3 linked regions of the Notamacropus eugenii genome follow. The protein of the gene in region 1 interacts with the protein of each later gene in a pairwise test. Links are inferred from orthologs where the notes say so. Each region holds a gene or a part of one and is shown on either strand. Other genes may lie near its edges.

Evidence for each region. The genes of interacting proteins can lie anywhere in the genome.
Region 2: the proteins of GOPC (region 1) and MYLK interact in binary tests that used the Homo sapiens proteins (3 or more experiments, as listed by UniProt). The two-hybrid records come from large-scale screens. The link is inferred for Notamacropus eugenii from reciprocal best matches to the Homo sapiens genes GOPC and MYLK.
Region 3: the proteins of GOPC (region 1) and MYOCD interact in binary tests that used the Homo sapiens proteins (3 or more experiments, as listed by UniProt). The two-hybrid records come from large-scale screens. The link is inferred for Notamacropus eugenii from reciprocal best matches to the Homo sapiens genes GOPC and MYOCD.

What each region holds. Positions count from the first base shown.
Region 1 is NC_092873.1:199,300,998-199,308,885, forward strand, and holds the start of GOPC (Golgi-associated PDZ and coiled-coil motif-containing protein), read right to left. Parts: upstream 3,007-7,888; 5' UTR 2,749-3,006; coding exon 2,461-2,748; intron 1-2,460.
Region 2 is NC_092876.1:340,049,726-340,057,741, reverse strand, and holds the start of MYLK (myosin light chain kinase, smooth muscle), read right to left. Parts: upstream 3,011-8,016; 5' UTR 2,642-3,010; coding exon 2,608-2,641; intron 1-2,607. UniProt on the Homo sapiens protein: Calcium/calmodulin-dependent myosin light chain kinase implicated in smooth muscle contraction via phosphorylation of myosin light chains (MLC). Also regulates actin-myosin interaction through a non-kinase activity.
Region 3 is NC_092873.1:314,055,000-314,062,321, reverse strand, and holds the start of MYOCD (myocardin), read left to right. Parts: upstream 1-4,312; 5' UTR 4,313-4,624; coding exon 4,625-4,679; exon of another isoform or gene 4,680-5,380; intron 5,381-7,322. UniProt on the Homo sapiens protein: Smooth muscle cells (SM) and cardiac muscle cells-specific transcriptional factor which uses the canonical single or multiple CArG boxes DNA sequence. Acts as a cofactor of serum response factor (SRF) with the potential to modulate SRF-target genes.

The DNA.
Region 1 (7,888 bases):
AATCTTAAGATGCATTAATAGACAGAGAGTGTCCTGAACAAGGGAAGTAATCAAACATAAACATAAATCCCACCATAATCAGCAGTGGTCAGATAATACCTGGAATATTGTGTTCATTCCTGGGTACGTCATTTTTAAAAAGATATTAACAAGCTGGAGAGTATCCAGAGGAAAAAAAAAATCCAGAATGGTGATGTACTCAAAAACCATGTCATATGAGGAACAGAAAGTATGTATCAAAATAGGATGATGATATTTTCTAAGTATTCAGAAGACTGGAAATACAATGGCTACCTTGTGGTAAACTCTGAAAAGTACTTGCTGATAGTGATGCTTTTTTCTTCTCTGTACGCACAACTAAGAGTTCCTATTAATGAAAACTGCATTATTTGCTAAACTTGTAAGATTTGCTAATATTTCAGAAGTGTTGGGCAACTTTTCCCGAATATATCCCACCTAAAAATGACAGCCTATTTTTCTTCCATTTACTATGGAGTTCATCTAAAACAAGGACTGCCAACATTTGTAGTAGTAGAACAAACGTGAAAAAAAATTCAAGAAAGAAATGTTATTTTATTTTTACATTAAAAAATACAGCCTCCTACGAAAGAATTTGAAGTTAGAATATGTAATTTGAGAAAAGAGAGCAACTTTGAATAATTTATGACTACTTTTAACATTCATTTGGAATGGATAAAGATGAAGGTAACTGAAAACCACCTCCCACTCACACAATGATTCCCCTTCTACAAAATTAGTATCTTAATTTGACATTTAAGTTATCACTGTTTAAGTGTTTGGTTATCCAAGTTTTTAAGAGAAAATAAAATCTGTTCTAATACAAAAATATGTTTATTCAGAGATCTAATTAAGTCTCAGTTCAAGTTAGATTTCCTTTCTGTCATAATACAGGATCATAATAAACACCACCCACAAAAGTGTCAGAAACACATCCAAATGCAAATGCCAAAAAAGAGAAAAATTTACAAGTATTTGTTGAATTGCACAAAAGAACCCAAGAAAACATTAAAACCCAAGAAATCAAAAGGTATTTTCACCATCAGTTTCCTACCAGATTTTTTGGGAAGGGATAAGCTGTCAATGAAAATTCAGGAAAAAGTTTCAAGATGAAAATTTTAGAATGCAATAGTTGGCTAACCAAAGATTAAGTACACAATTTTTCTTTCAGGATTTACCAATTAATAAAACACAGAACCTTTACCCTTTCATGAGAAGTCACCCAAATTATGTGACAAGTAAGAACCCAAAAGTCTGGATCAATAGTAATAATTTCTTAATAAAAAATACATCCTAATTACTTTTACCTGTAACATTATTACTGTGGAACTGAAAGCTATTACCATAGTTTTTTCCCACCTAATCCCTCTGTCCTAATTTCAATATTCCCCCCTCCCTCTTTCCTACTTTAAAAGGACAGGTCTAATTCTTTCCTTATAAAACCTAAGGTGGAAACTTTCTTTCATGAAACCCTTTTATTTATTAACTCTGTAGTACTGTGAAAATGTTGTAATTTGAATTATTTTGTACCTGTGGTGTTGTGTAAATATTTCTGCCCCTAGAAAGTCACAAGAAGATCAAAGTCTGAGCATTCTTTACTTACCCGGAACCCAGCTTTTAAGAATTAGGGCATGTCAAGTAAATAAACTGATATGCCATTTAAGAAGCACCTATGTGCAAGGCACTCTGTTAAACGTTGGAAATACAAGGAATGGCTTTTTAAAAGTCCCTGTTCTCAAGGAGCTTACAAAATCTGATAGAGGAGACAACATTCCAATAACTATATACAAAAGAGATATATAGAGTATCCCCAAAATTTTAGTACATTTTTAAGATACTAAAGGTTTGGTAACTTAAAACTGCACTAAGACTTGAAAAAGCTACTAAAGCTTTTAATTGCATTAAGATTTCTGGGGACAAACTATTTATAGGATGACTTAGAAATAATCTCGGAAGGAAAGCAGTAAGGGGCTCGGAAAAGCTTCACAAATAAAACCCACTGCTGAAGGGCCGTTCCAAGCAACTGAGGTAACTTAAAACCTGTCTATAAACAGAACCACTCTGCTATCTATAATTAAGGAAAGCGATCCCCTCTCCAAACTCATTTGTCTCCACAGATCTGATCAAATTCCACCGAACAGCTCAGGTACTGAAGAAAAAAGCTACCCACCTGAAAAAGAATCAAGAGTCTATCAAGAAGCAAAGCTGCTAATCTGATGGAAGAACCTCCAGTGCTGGGATGGGGGGTAAGGAGCAGGGGGAGCAGGACTAAGGCATCGCCCTCACGCCAAGTCCCAGCGTTCAGGAAAGGAGCTGGGGGAATCGCCTCTTCTTACGGGGGAAAGGGAGTCGTACCCGTAGTGGCTTTGGCGGCCGCCCCCAGGCGTCTGCCTCGGCCTCCCCGCCGGGAGCGAGCCCCCGCCACCCCTCCTCCGGGCTCACCTCCAGCTTGTGATTAATCTGGGACACGGTCTGCGCCTTGTGGCAGAGCTGCGCGAAGCAGGAGCTCAGGCTGGTCATCTTCTGGCGTCCCTCGTAAGTGATGTCCGCCTGGTCCGGGTCGATCTCGCCCAGGAGGAGGTCCACGTCCACGAAGGCCTTGTCAAACTCCTTCTCCAGCACCTCCAACCATCGGAACATCGACACCCCCCCGGGGGGCACCCCTGAGGCGCAGGAGGCACCCCCGGAGACCCCTCCGGGCCCCGCCGAGCACGGGCCGCCCGCCGACATGGCGCTGTTGAGGGCCTGCCCCTCGCCTCTCCCGCCGACCCGGCCACCTGCCCGCGGGAGGGGAACAGCCGGGACCGAGCGCTCCGCGAGCGCGCCGCTGCCGGTCCTGCGTCCCTGGCCCCTCGCGCAGGTAACGATGGGAACCCAGCTCTAAGGGTGGCAAAGGGATGAAGCAGAGGTTGAAGCAGCTACGGAGGAGGAACTGGCTAGACCGCGGGTCGGAGTCGCACCCCCCCACCCCCCTCCCCCGTCCCCTTTGCGCACGCGCAGAAGCAATCCGCCACTGGCGCCGGAGAGGGAGGAGTGGGGAGGGGCAAAGGTCAGCCCCTAGCCTGTGATAGGCTTCTGACAGGGCCCAGCCTCTCCGTGGCCATCTTGGGTACTGGCAAGTTGCGGGATGAGAACTCAACGCAAGAGTTGGAGGTGTTGAGCGCGTCACTGTCTACGTGGGAAGGCATGGAGGAAGAGCGACAGTGTCCACGTCGCGTAGGAGAGTAGCTTCCGTCCATCTCTTCCTCTGTCAGATCCCAAAGTGGTAGGGCAGAAGGGGGCGCCGAGGCTAGAGCGATGAAGTACCTTCTGCGCGTGCGCGGTAGACACGTGTTTTGGTTTTTTTTTTTTTTTTTTTGTCCTATCCTGACGTCGTCACGCCTCTTCTCCCGGCCAGGTGTTCTCCCCAGGGAGCTTCAGTTTGTTAGCCTGTTGGACATCTGCCGAGCATCCTTTGCATCTTTTCCAGCCCATCCCCATGCTTCCCTTCGGGCGGCGCAGAGTGGGCTCTTAGTACCTGGAAGCCCCGGGAATGCGCCGCGCGGGCTCGAGGGCTGCAGGAGAGGGAGCATCGGCCCAGGACAGACAGCCCGCGAAGGCTGCGCTGCCGGTGATCCCCAAGCGGAGCCGAGACCCTTCGGGGCCGGCTATGGGCGAGCCCAAGAACCACGGAAGTGAAGGGGACTTGAGAGACCCTGCCCACCCCCTTCCCCGCTTCTTCTCGGATGTGGAAACTGACAGCCCCCGTGGTGCCAGATATGCTTCGACGGGAAGTCGCGGAGCTGGTATTTGGACTTCATTCCTCCGATTCCGAAGAGGGCGTTTGCCGCTGGCCCGCATCTGCCTCCCACTCTGGCAGCACTTTTTAGAATGTGCAGCGCAGCTTTGGTTTGGTTTTCAGGAGGGGGACAGATGAGCCCATCCTTAAAGGAAAACGTGTTAAAGTTATCCCTCTGTACACTACAATAAAACAAAACTTGGGAGAGTTTATCCTTTCCTTTAGTTTCAGAAACAAAGTAATTTAGACACTACTTGTGAACGAATCATTTCCCCAACCCTGACTTGTTTTTTTGAGGCCCAGGCAGTTTGATTATAAAATCGCAGGAGTGGTAATGTGGTATACAGTGGGTAGAGAGTTGGCCTCCAAGCCAAGAAGAGCTGAGTTCGGTCCCTCTAGTGACTCATGCTGGCTGCATGACTCTGCATGTGACTCAATTTCCTCAGTATTCTGAGGCAACTAAGATTATAAATTAGACAGAACATGCTGACCTGCACCAGTAGTAGTTTCCTCACCCAGAAACTGTTCTTACCAATGAAATCACAGGTCCAGTCCCTAACTTATGGAGAAATGAATGTCATATATGGATGTTACCTTAATTTTTACAAATATTAGTCAATATTAGTATGTAGGTAGTAGAGGGAGGGGGAGTAAAAGCATAGAAGAGAAATTGAAGAAAAGGATATTGTAATGTCGCAGATATGTAAGGCCAACCTATGGAGAGGACTGTTGTATGGCTCAAAGTATTCAGAACAAACATCTCTAGCCTCTTCTCCTACTTTAATTCCTTCCAGGAAGGGAAGCAAAATGTTCGGGCCAGAAGACGCTAATCTACTATCTTCAAAGACAGGGAGTACCAGGTTAGAAGTATCTGATCACTTTGTCGTTTTGGGGGGAAGAAGGACTCTAAGATCTATATTCAGGGCCTGACCCCTTCTTCACCAAATACCAGTTTCCCAGTGAAAACACAGAAAATAGCAAAGGAACTCATTTATTCAAAGCACAGCAAAGCAGAAGGTATACAAATAATATACAGCACACAATTGAGAATGAAGGGGCTTTGTCTTTGGGAGTGAAATAACCCAACCAAGAATGTGTTTTATCTCACTGAAGAGATAATTCCCCCAAACCTCTAGTATAGCTAGCTGGAGATAGGGAAATGCAAGCTCTACTCATGTGTTTCCAGAATTTATTCCTGGAAGCTAGGAGTACCTGAGAGGAATTAATGCTCAAAGACTTGAAGCTTGGCCAGTCCCAGAGAGGATGGATTCTAAAGAGTTCTGAAGAGGGATTACTGAAATGTGGAGCTCTCTGCCTCCCACCAATTCCACTTTGTCCATCATGGAGGGTAGGGCCTTCATCTCCACCAATAAGGAGAGAATCTTGTACGAATGGGCTTTGGGACAGGGATTATAATAATTTGACCAGCACCCATAAAAATGAAACTGTAGAGAAGTGAGTGCTACTTAAGTCTTATTCTTAAGCCTCATGAGGTACAGATTGTCTTGTGTTCTCAATGGCCATGCTTGCAAGGTGCAAGCTCTAGAAGGCTCTGCAAAGATAGTTTTGCTTATGGGTCCAGAAACAGCATGTATCTGTTCTCTGAAAACAAGCTTTATTAAGTTCTGAGGAGTTTGTCACTGTCAGCAGCAGAATAAAAAATAAATTCTGCCAAAGCTTCTAATAAAGATCACAAAAGGGTAGGAGTTTTGATCTGCCTTGATAGAGAACCTACACACTCAAAATTACAGATTTTTTAAAATATCAAAGTACAAGTGATGACTTGGATTGATTTATGTTATCTTGCCAACTTGTTCAGTACCTTTAAAACCAGCAGCAAATCATGGAAAGAAAGTTGCAGGGAGATTGAGTAGGGAAGAGGAAAGAGGTAAAGGTACATGATGAATATATTATACTGTATGGCCATTTTCTCCTTCATACTTCTCCCCTAAACATTTTTGTTTAGTTGAGTTCAAGTCAAAGCTTATTTTGAAATTGGAAAGTTGTTACACAATGATAAAGGAGAATCTAAGTGTTAGCAAGGGCTATAGCTAAGACTACATTCATCAGTGGCAAACAAAACAAAATTAAAACAGGAGAAAAGAGGGAGGGAATTACATGGCAAGAGTCTGACTACAGAGGCCATTTTGCTGTGAAAGAATACTGCCTGGCACTTGGCTCTACAGGGTTGGAGGAGAAGGTGGCCCTGAATGACAAGACACTAAACATGGCAGCCTTCCTCTAGACTGCTACCCCCATCCACCAACAGGCTGACCAGTACTCTGAGGAAATCAGACTCCAGACAACCCCCTACAATTAGAGTTGGCCTAGGTTAAGTGATTATGGAAGCTACAGTTATTAGAAAGAAGGTACTAGAATTAAGGGGGAGTCAGGAAAGACTTCGTATAGAAGGTGAGATTTTAGCTGGGATTTGAAGAAAGCCAAGGAAGACAGGAAGAAAAGGTGTGTAGGAAGAATTTGCAAATGGAAAGATGGAGTATCTTGGAGGAACAGCAAGGAGGTCAGTATCACTGAACAGAAGAGTATGTAATAAAGTGTAAAAGGATTGGAAAGGTGGGAGGAGAGCAAGTTATAAATGGCTTTGAATATCAGAGGATTTAACATTTGATCTTGAATGTGATGGGGAGCCACTAGATTGTATTAAATGGAGGCAGGAGGGGTTGACATCTTCAGACTGGTCAAACCTTAGGAAGATCTGAGAGCAAAGTGGAGGATGGACTGGAGTGAGGAGAGACTTGTGACAGGGAAACCAACCAGCAAGTTTCTGCCTGAGGTATGAGGTAGAAAGGACCTGTACTATAGAGGTAGTAGTGTCATAGGAGAGAAAGCGGTATGCACAAGAGATGTTATGAAGGTAAAAATTGACAAACCTTGACAATAGATTGGATATAGGGGTGAGAGAGTGAGGAGTGGAGGATGAAGCCTAGGTGGCAAACCTGGGGGCTAGGAGGGTAGTAGTGCCATCAATAGTAATAAGGAAGTTAGGAAAGGGGAGGGTATAGGGAGGAAGATAATAAGTTCAGTTTTAGACATGTTGAGTTTGAGACTTTTATGGGATGTCCAGTTCAAGGTGTCTGAGAGGCAGTTAGAGATGGGAGATTGGAAGTTAACAAGAGACATTTGGCCTGGATAAGTAGATTTGAGAATCATGAACATAGAGATCATCAAGTGAAGGAGTATAGAGAGAGAAGAGAAGAAGGCTCAGGTCAGAGTCCTATGGGCATGATCTGGATAAAGATGTAGGAAAGGAGGTTAAGGAGTGGCCAGATATTCATCCTTAATAATGGCAGAAAAAACAGAGGCTTGGATGTTTCTTTTTCATACTATGCTCCTTTTTTCCTGATCTCCCCAGTTAGTTCCCCTCAACAAAATTCTTCTACTTTTACTTTGTATATATTTTATATTGACTTATCTGTGTGCATATTTTCCCAGCAGGAGAATGTAAACTCTTTGAGGGTAGAGATGGTTTTGTTTTTGTCTTTGTCCCTTCAAAACCAAACATAGGGGGATGGAACCAAGATGGTGGAGTAGAAGGACCGACCTGCTTTAGCTCTTTCCCTGTAGCCCATAAAATACCTGTAAAAAATGGCTCTAAACAAATTCTAGAGCAGCAGAAGCCACAAAATGACAGAGTGAAAGAGATTTCCAGCCCAAGACAGCCTGGAAGGCCAACAGGAAAGGCATATTGCACCAGGCTCAAAGTGGAACAGTGTGCACCCCAGCCTCAGAGTGCAGCATGGACAGGACTGGAACAGGCTTCAGGGTATGGAATCATGGACAGCAGCTGTGGTTCCCAAATTTCTGAACCCACAAATGCCAAAGACAGCTTCAAAGGTCAGTAAGAAAACTCTTTCACCTGGATAAGAGGAGAGTGGCATCTGGCCCTGGCCCCAGGGTGGCAGCAGCCACTGCGGCAGCAGCATCCTCTTTTGGAGCCCTTGGCCTAAAGACCCTGGGAGAATCAAGTGGCTGATCTGGGTCTCAGATATCCATAAACACTTAAGAGTTCACCCTAACTATCTGCATTAGATAAACCAAATGGATGCAGAATGCCTATTGTCCAAAAACTGA
Region 2 (8,016 bases), on another chromosome or scaffold:
TGAAGATTCTGGAGTAAGGGAATGGTGACATGGTGAGAACTTAGCTTTAGGAAGATTATTTTTGCAGCTTTATAGAGGATGAACAAGAGAAGACAGGAGTCTAATTAGGACTGACAGCTGTCAGTAAGCCACATGAGGAGAAGGGTTAACACATTGTTGATCCTTATTCAATGTTCCCTACTCTGTCTTACTCTTTACTCTCAACTCACCTCCATGAAAACCTCTTTCTAAGTTAATCTTCCCAGTTCTGGTCACTGGAATCACTCTGGAAACCTCAGAGGATCCAAAGCTGAAAGGATAGTCTAGGTTAATTCCCTTAATTTTATAGTTGAGGAAACTGAGGCCCAGAAGTGAAGTGACTTGATGAAATTCACATGGATATTAAGTAGAAGAACTGGGATATGAGTCAATTCTGTGATTCCAATTCCATTTCTAGTCCATCGTATGACCTCATTCTTAATGTGTGTAAAATTAGGCAGATATTACTTGAATAGCTCTTTTTCACATCATCAATATCATTGTCTTTCAATGTTAATGCCTTATATTTATTTACTCAGAGTTTTTCCTATGTCTCCAATCGAACTGGGAGTCCCCCCAAGGGGAAGAACTATGCCTTTTCCAATGGAAGGGAAAGTAGAGGAGGACAAAAACTCAATTCCCACCCACCCCCAGACTGGGAGCTCCCCAAGGCTAGGGAAGCTCTTTCCAGTTACATCTTTACCAACCTTTTCCCCTTCAAGACAGTCCAGCATACTTAGCTAAATATAATAGGACACTTTTTTTTCTATCCTCCCAAATACCATCATCACTCCTGCTTCTACCACTACCTCCAACTTCCACATTTTCTAATTAAAAATAAAAAATCTTGTCAGGTCAAAATAAGAAAATCTTGACATGCCAAGAACATCTTCTCAGATTTGGAATCTACTAAAGGCATGAACTTTCCAGCATTGTTCCTTCTAGCTTTGTTAATGCAGGGCCAAAGGATTGTGCTAAATTGAGTAATAAGCTATGAAGGAATTATAAACTAAAGATGGAAAGATGATAACTCTCCTTGGGAGAGATGGGGCAGTGGGGGACAAGGATCAGGAAAACCTTGATTAAGTGGGTAGCATTTGAAATGAGTTCAGAAATATGGACAGGTTTGCTATAGATGGAAGTGAATCAGTCCCAAAACACTCTGAGTTCCTTAAGATCCAGAAAGACCCCAGTTTGGCTCTTTAAGTGGATGAAAAGCAACCAGCAGCTTGATTTCTGAAACACCAGCCTGGGGAACAGAGTGCAGTAGTGGGGTGTCAGGCCCTAGGAAGGGGTCTGGCCTCAGGTTAGGGAAGGAACAGTGGAGGAAGGGTGAGTTCTGGCACTCCAGAAGGAGGTGAGTAGGGAGGGGATATACTTACTCAATCATCACATGTATTAAGGCTACAACTCAGTTCCAATTCAGCAGGCACGCCAACCAGCTTCACTCACTCTCAGCCCATCATCTCACCAGCTGTCTTTACTAATATAAATAGATTCCTTTGGCATTGGCAATCAATGGCCACTGATGTTTTTAGAATGTTCAGTTAAAAAAAAAACGAATAGTCCCGGCCTCCAGGTCCCTCTTCCTCCTCCTGATAATTAGGGGTCCACTCTCCTAAGCAAAAGAAGCTGGGGGATTTCCAAGATAACCTCTGTATCAACACTCCCTGAAACCACAAACACACAGCTGGAGGAAACTCCTTCAGGACAAAATAAACTGAGATCCAAAGGGCAGCAAGTGGGGCGGTGGGGGATGTAGCAGGACACAGGATGAGAGAAGGGGCAAAAAGGTCTGAGAGTGCCAGTCCCCCAAGGCAAAAAGCTAAACCACTGTTAGTCTGTGAGGGCAATTTGCCTTGGCTTATTAATCATCACCAGAAGCAATATTTAGCGATTTCACTTTAATTCGACTCAAAATACTTTATATAAATAATCTCCTGAATCCAATTAGGGAAAAAGAAAACTTTCCGTCTCAATTATTTAACCATTTAATCCTAAAGCAGGCTTTATAGTACAGATGTCCTCCCCTTCAGTATTCTGATTTTTTTTCTCTTTTCTTCTGGCGGGGGGAAGGCGGGGAGACTACCGAAAATGAAAGTCTCTCCTATAATTCAGAGTCAAAAGACACGGGGTAAAGCAGGTTAGAAAACGGGACAAGTTTTCTGCTTTTTCCTTTGCTGCCTCAAATACCATTTAGTTCCTTTATTTCTTGAATACCTTTCTCTGACTACAAGATGCCCTGGCAACACCCTCCTTGATTTCTGCCTAGTCTCAGGCTTTTCCGTCTATACCGCCTCCCGCATTCCGGGGAGCCCCCGGTTCTCCGGTCTAACGTGAGTCCGACACTGGGACGATCCCTACAGCTGCTGGACAGAGCGAAGATAGCCCCAAGTCTCCCCCTCCCCCCGCCGGAATCAATTCTGAAATGCACACTAATCCCTACAAATTCTCACAGTCTGCTCCCTAATCTCCCTAATCCCGGAGAAAGCCGCCCCAGCTTTGCCTGGCCCCGGCTCCCTATCTGACAAGTACACAACCGGCGAAGTGAAGCAAATGAGCCCGGCGGTAAACCCGGGGAGACCTTACCCACCCGGCAGCCTCTCCCCTCGGCAGGTTCCATAGGAGGCAGCACTGACTCCACCAGCAGCTTTCCCACTTCACCACTTAATTGCACTGATTTCCTTTCCAAAGTCCATTCCCAGGAGTCCCAGAGTGCAAGGAGAGCAGAGGGAGCGAGCTGTATCACGGGCAGTAAAGGATAGACCCAGGTCACAGGAATTTAAAAGGCTTTTGTTCTGATGGGGCTCACAGATGTTGCAACTGGGCTGCTAACCATTGAGCCAACTTGGCCCGGTGCAGTCGATCTGTTGTTTTAACCCACCGAGCTGGAGTGACCTTTGTAGCCCTCTGCAGCTACGGCCTGGCTGGATTTTCAATGGAAGCCCTGGGGGACCAGAAGTGGAAGCTCACAGGTTGCTACTTGTTTAGAACTGCAGATTCCAAACTCTGTGTGTGTGTTGTGTGTGTGTGTGGGAGCAGAGTTTGCCCTAGTGGGCTCTTTCCAAAAAAAAAAAAAAAGAAGAAGAAGAAAAATAAAAATGCAGAAATGAGAGTCCTTTGACTGGGCCAAGAACATCCCCAAATCCACATCTGGGCTGGGAACACTACTACAGCCCCCAGCACCCTGGCACATCTGGAGTGGAAACAGCATCCCCAGGTTACTAGGCACGTCTGCCTTCTGGGGACAGCTCTGCCCTCTCAAGCAGAAATGTTATAGGAATAGATTCCTTCTAAAGTAGAGACAACGTCTAGTACAAACACATTACACACTGTTCTGAAGTCCCCTGAAGGGATTGGGGACCAGAGTTGAAGCAGGCTCCCTAGGCTGTGCACATGCCATCCACATGAGCCTAATTGGAGGAAGACCTTACAGAGGCCAGCCCTGGTAGACACTTAAAGTGGGCCCTTGGTCTTCAGGTTAAGAATCATACTCGGTTCATTAGCTCTGAGCACCTAGAGATAAGAGCTGACATTATAGAGTACCTTAGGGCTTAATTATCTCTATGCAGAAGATACCCCAGTCTTCATATCCAGCCCTAGGCTTTCTCCTGTCAAACATCTTCCACTGGAGATTGACACGTCCTACAGTCACCTGAGACTGAGACACATCCAAAAAGAGTCCATTCTCTTTCTTCTGGAACCTATACTCCTTGTCTATACTGTTCTCTCGTTATCACCATCGTATTAGTCACTCAGCATTCTCCCTGACTCCTCACTTTCCTTCATCCCACATATCCAATTAGCTTCCAACCTTTGTCTTTTTCATCTCCACAATCTCTCTCATATCCATCCCCTACTCTCTACACTCATGGTAACTACCTAGTCCAGGCCCTCATTACTTCTCACTTGGACTATTTGCAGTAACCTCCAGATTAGTGTCCCTACCTCAAGTGTCTCTCCTTTCTAATCTAGTGCATTAAAAATCAATAAGCATTTATTAAGTGATCAGGAACTATGATAAAATACAAATAAAGGCAAAATAGTCCCTGCCCTCAAGAAGCCAACATTCTAATGGAGGAGATATTATGTAGTGGCAGCTAAGTGTCCTAGTAAATAGAGTATTGGACCTGGAGTCAGAAAGATTCAACTTCCTGAGTTCAAATCTGGCCACTTACTAGCTGTGTGACCCTGGGCAAGTCACTTAACCACATTTACCTCAGTTTCCTCATCAGTAAAATGAGCTGGAGAAAGAAATGGCAAACCACTTCAATATCTTTGCCAAGAAAACCCCAAGACGGGGTCACAAAGAGACAGACATGACTGAAATGACTGAACAACAAGATAATATGTAAGTAACCAGGTATGTGCAAGATACATACAGAAGAAATGCATGGTGATTTCAGAGAAAAGGTACTTCAGGGTGGGGAGGAAATTATACATGGAAAGATCTGCTGAAGAGCTGATGATTTGAGCTGAGTCTTTAGGAAAGTAGGAGGAAGGGGTAAGGAGGTAAGGAGGTAGAATATTCCAGGTATGACAGCCAATGAAAAGCTATACAGATGCCAGCATGATTTTCCCAAAGCTCAGACCTGAGGATGTCACTTTACTACTCAATAAGTTCCAATATTCAAATGGAAATTCTGTGGTTTACCTTTAAAGCTCTTCACAAACTGGCCCAAACCTAACTTTCTGAACTTTTGTAGCCTATATGAGCTGTTTAATATACTCATTCCAATTCCTGCTCTCACTGACAAGAAATTCCCAGAGCAAGGCCAATTAACTCTTCCCATGAAGGTTCTAGGGGTATCCTTGAGGGCTGAGGGTTGACATTCTCTAATGCCATTGGCTCAAGCCCTCACTGGTGTGCTTCCCTCCAAAATGGTTAATTGAGAATCATTTAGTCAATATATATTTGTAATGGATTTTGTTTTTCTCACTTTGTGGGGTGAGGGAAGAAAGGAAGATAAGAGAGAGAATTCAGAGATGAAAATAAAATAAGATTGGATTAAAAAAAAAAGAATCAGTGTCAGCCAGTCTTAAATCACTTTTTAGAAATGGGAATTTGCTAAGGTACCACAATATGAATAGTTGGTACAAGAAATCCACCTCTTCTCCCCCCAAGTAATGATCTGTTAAATAAGTAGAGAGATCAAGGGAGAGTGGGCTCAAGCTGAGGGTAAATTCGAAACAAAGGAGTACCCCGCAATTCTTGGTGACTAGAAGTCCTTCCATTCCCTTGGGCATGATATGTTCTCTTGACTGGGGTACTTCTAGAGTTGTGTCTCACTATGTCATTAGCTCCTGATGATGCCTATACTGCTGCCAGCTAAAAGAAGAATGCTGTTTAGGATACTGGTGGGAAGATGGGAATTCACCATCCTCTTTAAAGTTGGATATTTATCCTCTACTCAAGGTAGAGGGTAGAATCTGGCCAAAGCCTTCCACTCCACCAAGTGAGTCCTTCTCTGGAAGTTCGGCAAGAACACCACACTCACTCCAAATTTTGGAATTCTACCTCTTCTCAATTGAACTTGATAATTGATAGATGCTCCCTGGGTGTGGTCAGGTTTCCTCAGCCTATACGAATATGATTCTTGTGCAAGTGTGCAATGTCGTTCTAGTTCTAACCCTTTCAAACTTAGCCTGAGGTGTTTTGATTGATTATGAGATCACTGGAGCTATAATGATACGTACATTACTCCCATTCCTGTACTTTATGGACCAGATAAATTGGCCTTCCTTCTGTTCCTCACACATTCACTCCATCTCCTGCCTCCATGACTTTGTACTGGCTGTCTGCTTCATGCCTGGAAATGCAGTACTGTCTCATCTCTGTCATCATCTGTCTCTTAGAATCTCTTATTTTCCTCTGAACCCTATTAAAGTGACACTTTCTACATAAAACATTCCATGACCTCTCCTTCCCTGGGTGCAAGTGCCCTCCACACAAAAAATTGCTTGGCATTTATTCTGTTTATATTTATTTATGCACATGTCATCTCATTCAATAGAATATAAGCTCCTTGAGGGCAGGCCTTGTTTTATTTTTATCTCTGTATCCCTAGTGCCGAGCATAGAACTTGACATGTAGCAAGCCTTTAATAAATGACAAGATTGATCAATTTGACCATCTCATAGAGAGTCTTTATTATGTAGTGGAAAGAATACTACATTTTTATCAGAAGATCTGGGTTCAAATCTCATTATTATTATGATCAAATCTCTGATTATTAATTTTTTATGACAGTTGGGGTTAAGTGACTTGCCCAGGGTCATATAGATAGTAAGTGCCAAGTGTTGGAGGCCAAATTTGAACTCAGGTATGCCTGACTTCAGGGCCAGTGCTCTATCCATTGTGCCACCTAGCTGCCTCCTGTCATTTATTATTAATGTAACCCTAAGCAAGTCATCTCTCAGACTCAATAAAATGAAGAGGTTGGATTAGATCAAAGGTGTCAAACTGCTGAGCTGGAACCAGATTAAAATGTAATTAGGAATGTTCAAAAAATAAATAAGAATACAAGAGAACATAGACAATGTTAATTTGTGGTTTTATAAGTCAATATACAGCTATAGGGATCATTATATGTGGTTTAGTGCTGAGAGAGATGATCTCTAACGTCCCTTCCAGCTTTAAAATCTGTAAGCCTCCGTGATCTTCACAACAATACTATGAAGTAGGTATTATAAATATTATTATCATCCCCATTTTCCCGGAAAGGAAACTGAGGCTCATATAGGTTAGGCAACACACCTATGATTATAATTAGTAAGGCTTAAGGTCTAGATCTGGAATCTGTTCTGACTCAAAGTCCAATGCTCTTTCTATTATACCATATTAACTTCTATGAAGAAGGCAGAGAATAGCTACTGTGGCTGGTTTCCACTCTGCTCTTTAACTTCTTCTTTCTGGGATACATGATAGAAATGGGTAACTTAGGTCTCCATGGGAACCTCTCATGCTATGGTAGCCCCATGCTGGGACCATTTCAAGGATATCTCTCACTAGATGGAATTACTAACCTAAGTTTTTACATTTCCATGAGCTGAATGTTTCAATTGCAATTCTTAGTGTATCCGAGGGTCCATCTTGTGACCACAAGGACCCTCTTCTAGTTACCATCTCTTGCTCTCTATTCTGCCCCTTGTCATTCACAAACATATACATTCATTGGAAAGATTAAGTGGATAGAAAGGGGAGTTGGTGGGTGGATAGGAGAGAAAATGAAGCAATAGCTTCCCTCACTTCATCACCCCTCCCCCCCAACTTCTCTATCAGGTAAAATCATCCACAAACTAGAAAACAGAGAAAGGGCTTAAATGGTTAACTTGCTTGAAGTCACACTGGAAGCAGAGAAAACCCAGGATTTGTACCCAGGTCCTCTGACTTTTGATTACAGGACTCTTTGTCACTGCCATTCTCTTACTGTTACAGCACTGGTTAGATTGGATGTTCTATAGACTGCATTCAATTCCACATCTTAAGAAGGACATTGAAAAAACTGGCATCCATCCAGAAGACAGTGACAATGATAATGAAGAGCCTGGAAAAATATCCCACAGGAGGACTGACAGAAAAACTGGGAATATTGAACCTAAAAGAGGCACATATATCTTCAAAAATTTGAAGTTTTTTTTTAACGGAAGAGGGAGCCAATTGTTGTAACCATGACACTGTGTGTCAACTTACACCCATTTCAGATCTCCATTTTATGTTAGCTTCCCACATTAGAATATAAGCTTCTTGAGGGCAAGGACTGTCTGGCTTACTTATATTTGTGTCCTTAGTATTTAGCACAGTTTGGGGTACATGGAAAGCACTCAATAAATGCTACCTACCTACCTACCTACCTACCTACCTACCTACCTACCTACCTACCTATCTATCTATCTATCTATCTATCTATCTATCTATCTATCTATCTATCTATCTATCTACACAGCTAGGTGACTCAGAGGATACAGCACCAGGCTTAGAGTCAGGAAGACCTGAGT
Region 3 (7,322 bases), about 110 Mb from region 1:
ATTAGTTTACTACATTAGAAAAAATAATAACAAAATTCATCTGGAAGAACAAAAAGGCAAGAATATCAAAAGACCTAATGAAAAAATATAAAGGAAGGAGATATAGCAGTAGATGATCTTAAATTATAGTATAAGGCACTAATTATCAAAACTAGAACTCTTCTTTGCCCTAGAGCTCTGACCAAGTCCATCATTCTCCTGCAGCCACAAATGCTAGTGCTTCTCTCTGCCTGGGAACTGTGACCAGGCCCCCTGTTCCCCTGCCACTTCAAGCATTAGCACTCCTCTCCATCCTGGAACTGTGACTCAGAACCGCATACAGGTAATAAAACTGTCATTCAGTACTGTACCCAGTACCAGCAATGAGTTCCCTATAATCTCTTTCTGATCAGTTGTCTGATCCCTTTGCCATTTCTGGGCTGAGAACTCCTAAGCTGCTGCACCAATGGCTGCAACTGTGGTTGTGACTGCGATTGCTGCAGCAGTGGCTTTGCAGCTGTGGCACATGCACGCTCTAAACCAGTCTTCACTCTGGAATCACAGAGCTTTCCAGCTGACCTCCAAAGTTTTCTTAGGCTGGAAAAATGTCTCACTCTGCCCATTTCTTGGCCCCATCTCATCAAAATTTTATTTGAGGCATTATTTTAAAGGTTTTTTTTATTGGGATGGAGGGAGTGAGGAACTTTCAAGGACTCAGACAAGGTGGACAAAGTAGGAAAGGCAGGAGAAGGAAAGGAGACATTGCCTTGGACTAGACCATTTTGCAAGTACTGAACATTTACAGGTCGCCACCCTAAAGTGTTCCTGAGATTGCAGAATAATATAATATTCAATATCCAAAAAAGAAAGCAACAGAGTCCAGCCTAGAACTTCATTCCAGAAATGTGCAGAGTATACCTCTAAAATCAAATCTAAAATCAGGAAATAGGCTAGAAAAATGAACAAAATTTTTAAAGAAGTATCCTACCATAAAAAGCTATTATGGTAATAGGGATATTCAAGATACAACCCCCAAAGAAGAAAATGACTCCAAAACATCTACAAACAAAGACTCAAAGGAAAACACTTTGGACACAAATTCAGCTAGAATTCTGAGAGATGAATTTTTAAAAGAGCTAAAAATATTTTTTATAAATGAAATGAGAATGTTAAAGGAAAATATTGGAAAAGAAATGAGAGTGGTGGATGAAAGAATTAAAAAGAGAATTAATAGCTTGGTATAAAAGGTATCTTACCCAAGAGACATGACTCCATGAAACAAGAAATATTAAAAACAAAATCAAAAGGCTGAAAAAATTAATTTGTTCTTTTATATCTTGATGAACTTAAGAAAATAATGGAAAAATGGGGCAAGAGACACACCCTGAGGGATCATAAGGGGAAAAGAAGATTAGAGAAAATTATTTCACATAATCAAGATGTACAAGTAGACATCTATATACTTAAGTAGGAGGGAGTGGGAATGAATGGCTAACACTTGAACCTCACTCTCCTCTGAACTGATCAAAGGAGAGAAGAACATAAACACATATGCACAGTTCTGTTTTCACTGTTGAGTACAGAAATGCATTTCGCTCCATAGGGAAATAGAAAGTAAAGAGGTGAAATTAAAGGGAGGGTAGATTAAGGAAGAGATGAGTCTCTAAGCAAAACAAACTCTAAGGATGTAGAAAAAATGTTTATAGTTCTTTTAGAGATCTCAAAGAATGGAATATGAGAAGATGCCCATAAATTGGGGAGTGTTGAGCAAGTTTTGGCAATAAAAATAGGATATGGTTTCAGATAAACCTGGAAAGATTGTATGAAGTGGAAGCAACCAGCAGAACAATTTATATAATTTATATATGAATGAATGAATAATTTATATAATGACAATATTATAAAAGAAAGCAACTTTGAAAGAATCAGGAATACTGATCAACATAATAATCAACTACGATTCCAGAGGATGAAACATACTGCCATACAAACAAACTTTCCTCATAGAAAGATGGAGAGAATTATCAAATATAGCAAATATAGAAATTTGTTTTGCTTAACTATATATATTTGTAATAAGAGATTTTGTCCATCTTACGTTCTCAATTGGGGGAGGGAGATGAGTTGAGATGGAATGGAGAGAAGGTGGATATTTTCTGATTGAAAAATATGATTTCTTTTTTACAAAGAAGTGACATTATCTGGAAGTTTTCAAAGTCCATTAATATTAATACTCAGGAGATAGATAGATATCAATAGCTCCATCCTAATGAAGCACACAAAGGGTAAAGATGCTCCTGAGATCATCAATGTCTTTGAAACCAGTCAGTGCTCCAGCTTACCCTCAAATCCAGATATCCTAGGTAAGTATGCTGTTTATTGTTGCACATAAATTCTCAAATGGCAAACACTTCTGGCCAACTAGTTGAGGTCATACAGACCCTTACATTTTATGTTTGCCTCAGCTGTTTTTATAACTTTCACCTCCCCAAAATTCCCTTTTGAGTTGACACATACAGCATTTTCTCTTGACCAAAAGTTCTCAGGATAAAATCTATTTGGCTGTTTTAAAATAGTCACATAGAACTTTTTACTGAGATTCACTAATTAGAAAATAAAACTTTTACCCACACTCTCTTTACCAGAGCATTCCAGGTCTTATTCCTCATCCTCTATCCTCAACTTTGGGAAATAGGCAACTTGTCATCAAGGTGTGTGGAAAGGGGTTGGAAACAACAGAATGGGGTGACTTCAGGTTTGTGCAAAAGACTCAAAGTGCTCTTTCAGATTTTTCCTACCCCACAAGTCTTTAAAGCTTCACTTGATGCTCAATTTGAATTGATTTCACTGTCACAGAAATGCTCAAGCAGTAGTGTACACAGCATGATTTGCTAGAATAAACTCTACCTCTCAGTGTCTCAACTCTAAAAATTTAAGTTGCAGACAAATTACCTAGCTGCATGGGTGAAAGGATCTTCATTGATAGTGGAGGGAGTACCTCTGTCCCACTCTACCAACGTATTTTTACGATGCTGTTAGGAATGACTATACATCTCACTGACCTGCCTTGTCCCTGGAGAATCAGTTCTCAGATTTGAGCAATAAATTGTTAAAACTTTCTGGAACCTACATGTCTATTCCTCAGTGCTACAAACTGAGATTCAGAATTTGAGTATCATAACTTTATCATAAATCCAGAAAGTATTAGCTATTTCCATTTCATAAATTTTATTGTCAAATCTGGAATGCATCATTCTTCATGCCCACATCCTATCAGTTTTAGTATAAGAGGAAGGAAATGCAGAAGGTGTGGGGTGACTTGGAACCTGTAGCAGTAAGGTTTAGGGGAAACTTTAAATGTGACAAAACCCTATTGAACTAGAAACAGAACTCATTCATAGAAAGAACTTAGCTTTCCTTCCAAAAGTCTGAAGCTTTCTCTTTTGCTATAACCTGCTTGGTGAGATCAGTTGCTGGATCCAGATCTTGCTTGGTGACTTCAGCGTATTCCTTTTCTGCGAACAGAAAAAGATTCAGTATGAGAGAGTTCAATGTGTGTGTGCAATATATTTCACTTGCAAAAATCAAGTTAGATTGTCTATCAAAGAGTGTGATTTTTCACTGAGGCTGCTTAAGATTTGATTCTTGGGAAGAAACCCCAATATAAAATAATCTCACTGGTCTAGCTACACTAGGCCCCGTGGGACCAAGAGAAGATATGAGGACAGTATGTTCCACTGGAAGTTTTGTTTATTTTGAAGTGCTTCAGCTTATCTCTTTCCTGAATGCTACAAATCCAAACTGCCCTGTAGGAACACAGACATGTTGAAAACTGAGGGCCCCAAAACAGCTTTGGGGATTTTCCCGATAGCCCCCATTAAAACTAAACTCCTAAAGACAATTGATTCTGCAGAATCTATTACTATCTGTTTCTCACTCCAAGGTCAGAACATGGGCTAGGAAATCCTTGGCTTATTTTTACAAATTCCTAGTCCCTGAAAGGTCACGTCTTATTCCATGAACACAGATCACACTTGGAAAGCCTAACAACATTGTAATTCTTAATTTCTTAAATTTGCTCTGTACGGAAGGATTACTGCCTCCAGTTTCCTAAAGACACATTGTTGTTCCTTCCCCTGCCTGCCCCAATTCATATTTGCAGTCTCTGGGACAGCTCAGCATGCTACAAAGAGTTAAACCAGCTGTGCTGATATTCTCTTGGCGGCTCCAAATTCCAGGTCCAAGCAATAAGCTTCTGATTGGCTGAGCTCCTATCAGTAGTAGTGGGTATCAGATATCAAACTTGAGACTTTACTAAAAAACTTGTTAGCAATACTCTCCGATCCTTGGTAGGCTATGACATCAGCCAAGAAAGCCTACCATGATCATAGTAACCTCTGAGTAGGAGGAGGATCCTTCTGGCTGAGTAATTAGCTCTGCACAGCGAGGGTGAGCAGTTAGTTTTCTGTTAGTGTCAGTGTGCGTTGCATCCAAACTGATTTGAGGTACTGGCTGCTGCAAGACAAGTCCCCAGGAAAGCACAACAAACATCGGATGAATTCTGAATTATTAGCTGTGGTCATTTTGCCTCCTGGTTGAAATCAGGGTGGGGTTTCTGGCACAGGACTGCTTGCTGAGAATCACCATGACACTCCTGGGGTCTGAGCATTCTTTGTTGATTCGGAACAAGTTCAGATCAGGTAGGGCTCATTACACTTTCTTCTTCTGCAAGTCTTATTTGCTTTTTTATTAAATGTATTTGAAGCCCCAAACAAGGCAAATGATAACAGATTGCTAATACTGCCACAGTTCTGTCCCCCTTCCCAATATTCTGGGGGCAGGCTTGCATTTAAATTGGGAGATAATTGTATGAATCTAATTTCTTTGCTTTTAGTTCATCTGTGTTTCGTGTTTGGATTATAATAACTCCTATTAATTTTCATTTCTTTTCATACCCCATAAATTGGGTCATATATATGAAGGAGTAAGTTCTGAAAGGAACAATTAAGAAATCTCCAGTTTGTGCTTTTTGGTATGTTAGGTTATAATTCCTGAGAAGACCAACCAGGTACTAGTATATTAGAACCTAGAGATCAGTTGGGACACAACTAATTCACATAAACGCATTTCCAAAAAAGAAAAGTCACTTGGGGGAAGTAAAAATAGCAAATTTATTTAAAATGACATCACTGCAGAAAAAAGACCCAGTGCCACAGTTCCTCCACAACCATCTGATATTTATAAACTGAGAATCTATCCCAAATCTTCTGTGTTAGTGGAGAGCAGAGAAACTTCTGAAAGATCATTCTCTCTGAGCGAAGGTGAGTGAAGGGACCTGAAAGGGCCAACCCCTCCTCAACAGAAAGTCTTTATTCAAATTCCTACAGATAAAGTCCAGCAAGTGAGTATTCATATACACCTGTGCACATTTTTCCTCTAAATCCTTCCTAATTAACTTTACACATAAAACTGCTATGATTCAATGGGCTATGCAATTCAATAGCGGGGGAATTACTATTGTGTGATGTTTTACTTTAGGATTCTATACCTTAGGACAATATGCAAATTTGCCAAAACTTTTATTCAGAAGAACCCTAGAGAGTTTTCCTATTTCTAACCCGAAGTTTTCCAAAATGCCTCTTTTAATTCTTGTTGCTTCATTTTATTTTTTATCACGACACCTGAGGTTTGTAAGAATGATGATGGGAGTGAGGTGTTTACCAGAAATAGACTTCAGCAGCTACAACATTAGCAATGTTATCAAAACTCCAGAATGTAAATGGAAACCACAACTCCAAGAAGATTCGTGTGTGTGTGTGTGTGTGTGTGTGTGTGTGTGTGTGTGTGTCTGTCCCTTGAGATCTTAACACTGCAGTTGATCAAGCCATTTCTCTGTTTGGTGAAGTGTGATGAATAGATTTCTATCAAGAATTGTGAAGCAATACTGCCACCTTTCTGAAGAAGAGAGGGTGCAACCTTGTTTTGAGGGCAGCCACATTCTTTTCATGTGAGCCATGGCTGTTTTTAAAATGAATTTTTGCCTGGTTTGCCTGTAAAAGGATTTTGTGATGTTCTTGATAATACACTTGCAAAACATACTTGTCAAATGAATCTTTCCTTACAGTAAATTTCAAGGGGGTAGTGAGCACATTAAATTCTTCCACAATTCATGTGGCCCATCGTGGTGGATTTATGGGCTCATCTTTTTTTGCTAATATTATTTCCCACTATATCTCATGAATTTGAGGTTGATTATACTGGTATCCGTGGTAATGCTTTGGAGTCTTTGATCACAGGGATATTTCATACCAAAGACCTTACTTAGCATACTCACTTCATATTTCATCTGCTAAGACAGTGTCTCATGGCAGACAGGAAGGTTGGTTTGAGGAGAAAGATATGAAAATAAAGACATAAGCAAATGTGATTACATCACAACCTTGAGTCTAGAAACATTCAGCCTGGCAATCAGAGACACACATGGAGGCTGGCAATATGCTAAGAAAATGTAAGAAAGATGTCATTAGAAACCTTAAGAAAACATGATGATAAATTAGGAAGTAATGTAATTCTTGTGCTTAGATACACTTATATAGAGAGATATATAAGCAGCTCCTGCATCCTTGAGTTGTTCTGAAAGGGGGGCTCTTTCTACAAAAAGTCTATTGTAGCTTGTGACAAACAAGTAAGGGTTGGCCTTTATCAAATTTTGGCCTCTTAGAGACAATATTTAATCTTATATGGCTATTCCAGTTTCATTACTTGATTTTGCTTTGTTATTTGCAAAAGAGACTGAAATTCTTTAATTTATGGAGAGTATTTCTTTTTAGAGAAACTAAATTTTGTTAATAATCATTGTGACATTTCAAAGGGATTGATATGAATAACTATAAGTGAAATTTGATGTGCCAAATGTTGAACAGCTAATATCCCTTTAAAAAATTTTCCCAGTTATGAACAAATGACAAGACTACCTAAACAATAAACGATGAAGGCTAAACATAGGATGTAGTCTAGAATACTATAGTAGTAGTCAAATAATACTATATATGTAAATTTGGACAAATGATTTAACTTCTCTGGATCTATTTTCTCACTTGTACAGTGAGGGATGTATTAAATGTTCTCTTATGTCCCTTTCTAGCTCTAACGTTCTGATTTCATGAAAATTATAAAAAAGTAATAGCACATAAAATAAATGGGTTTCACTCACAATAATTTTGTAAGTTAAATTATCATGCTGCATAACAGTTAATGCAAGATAAGCAGTTTATAAAAATAGCTGTAATTAATATTAGTTGTATATAAACCGCATTTTTATAGTTTCTCTCTTTTTGTTAGTT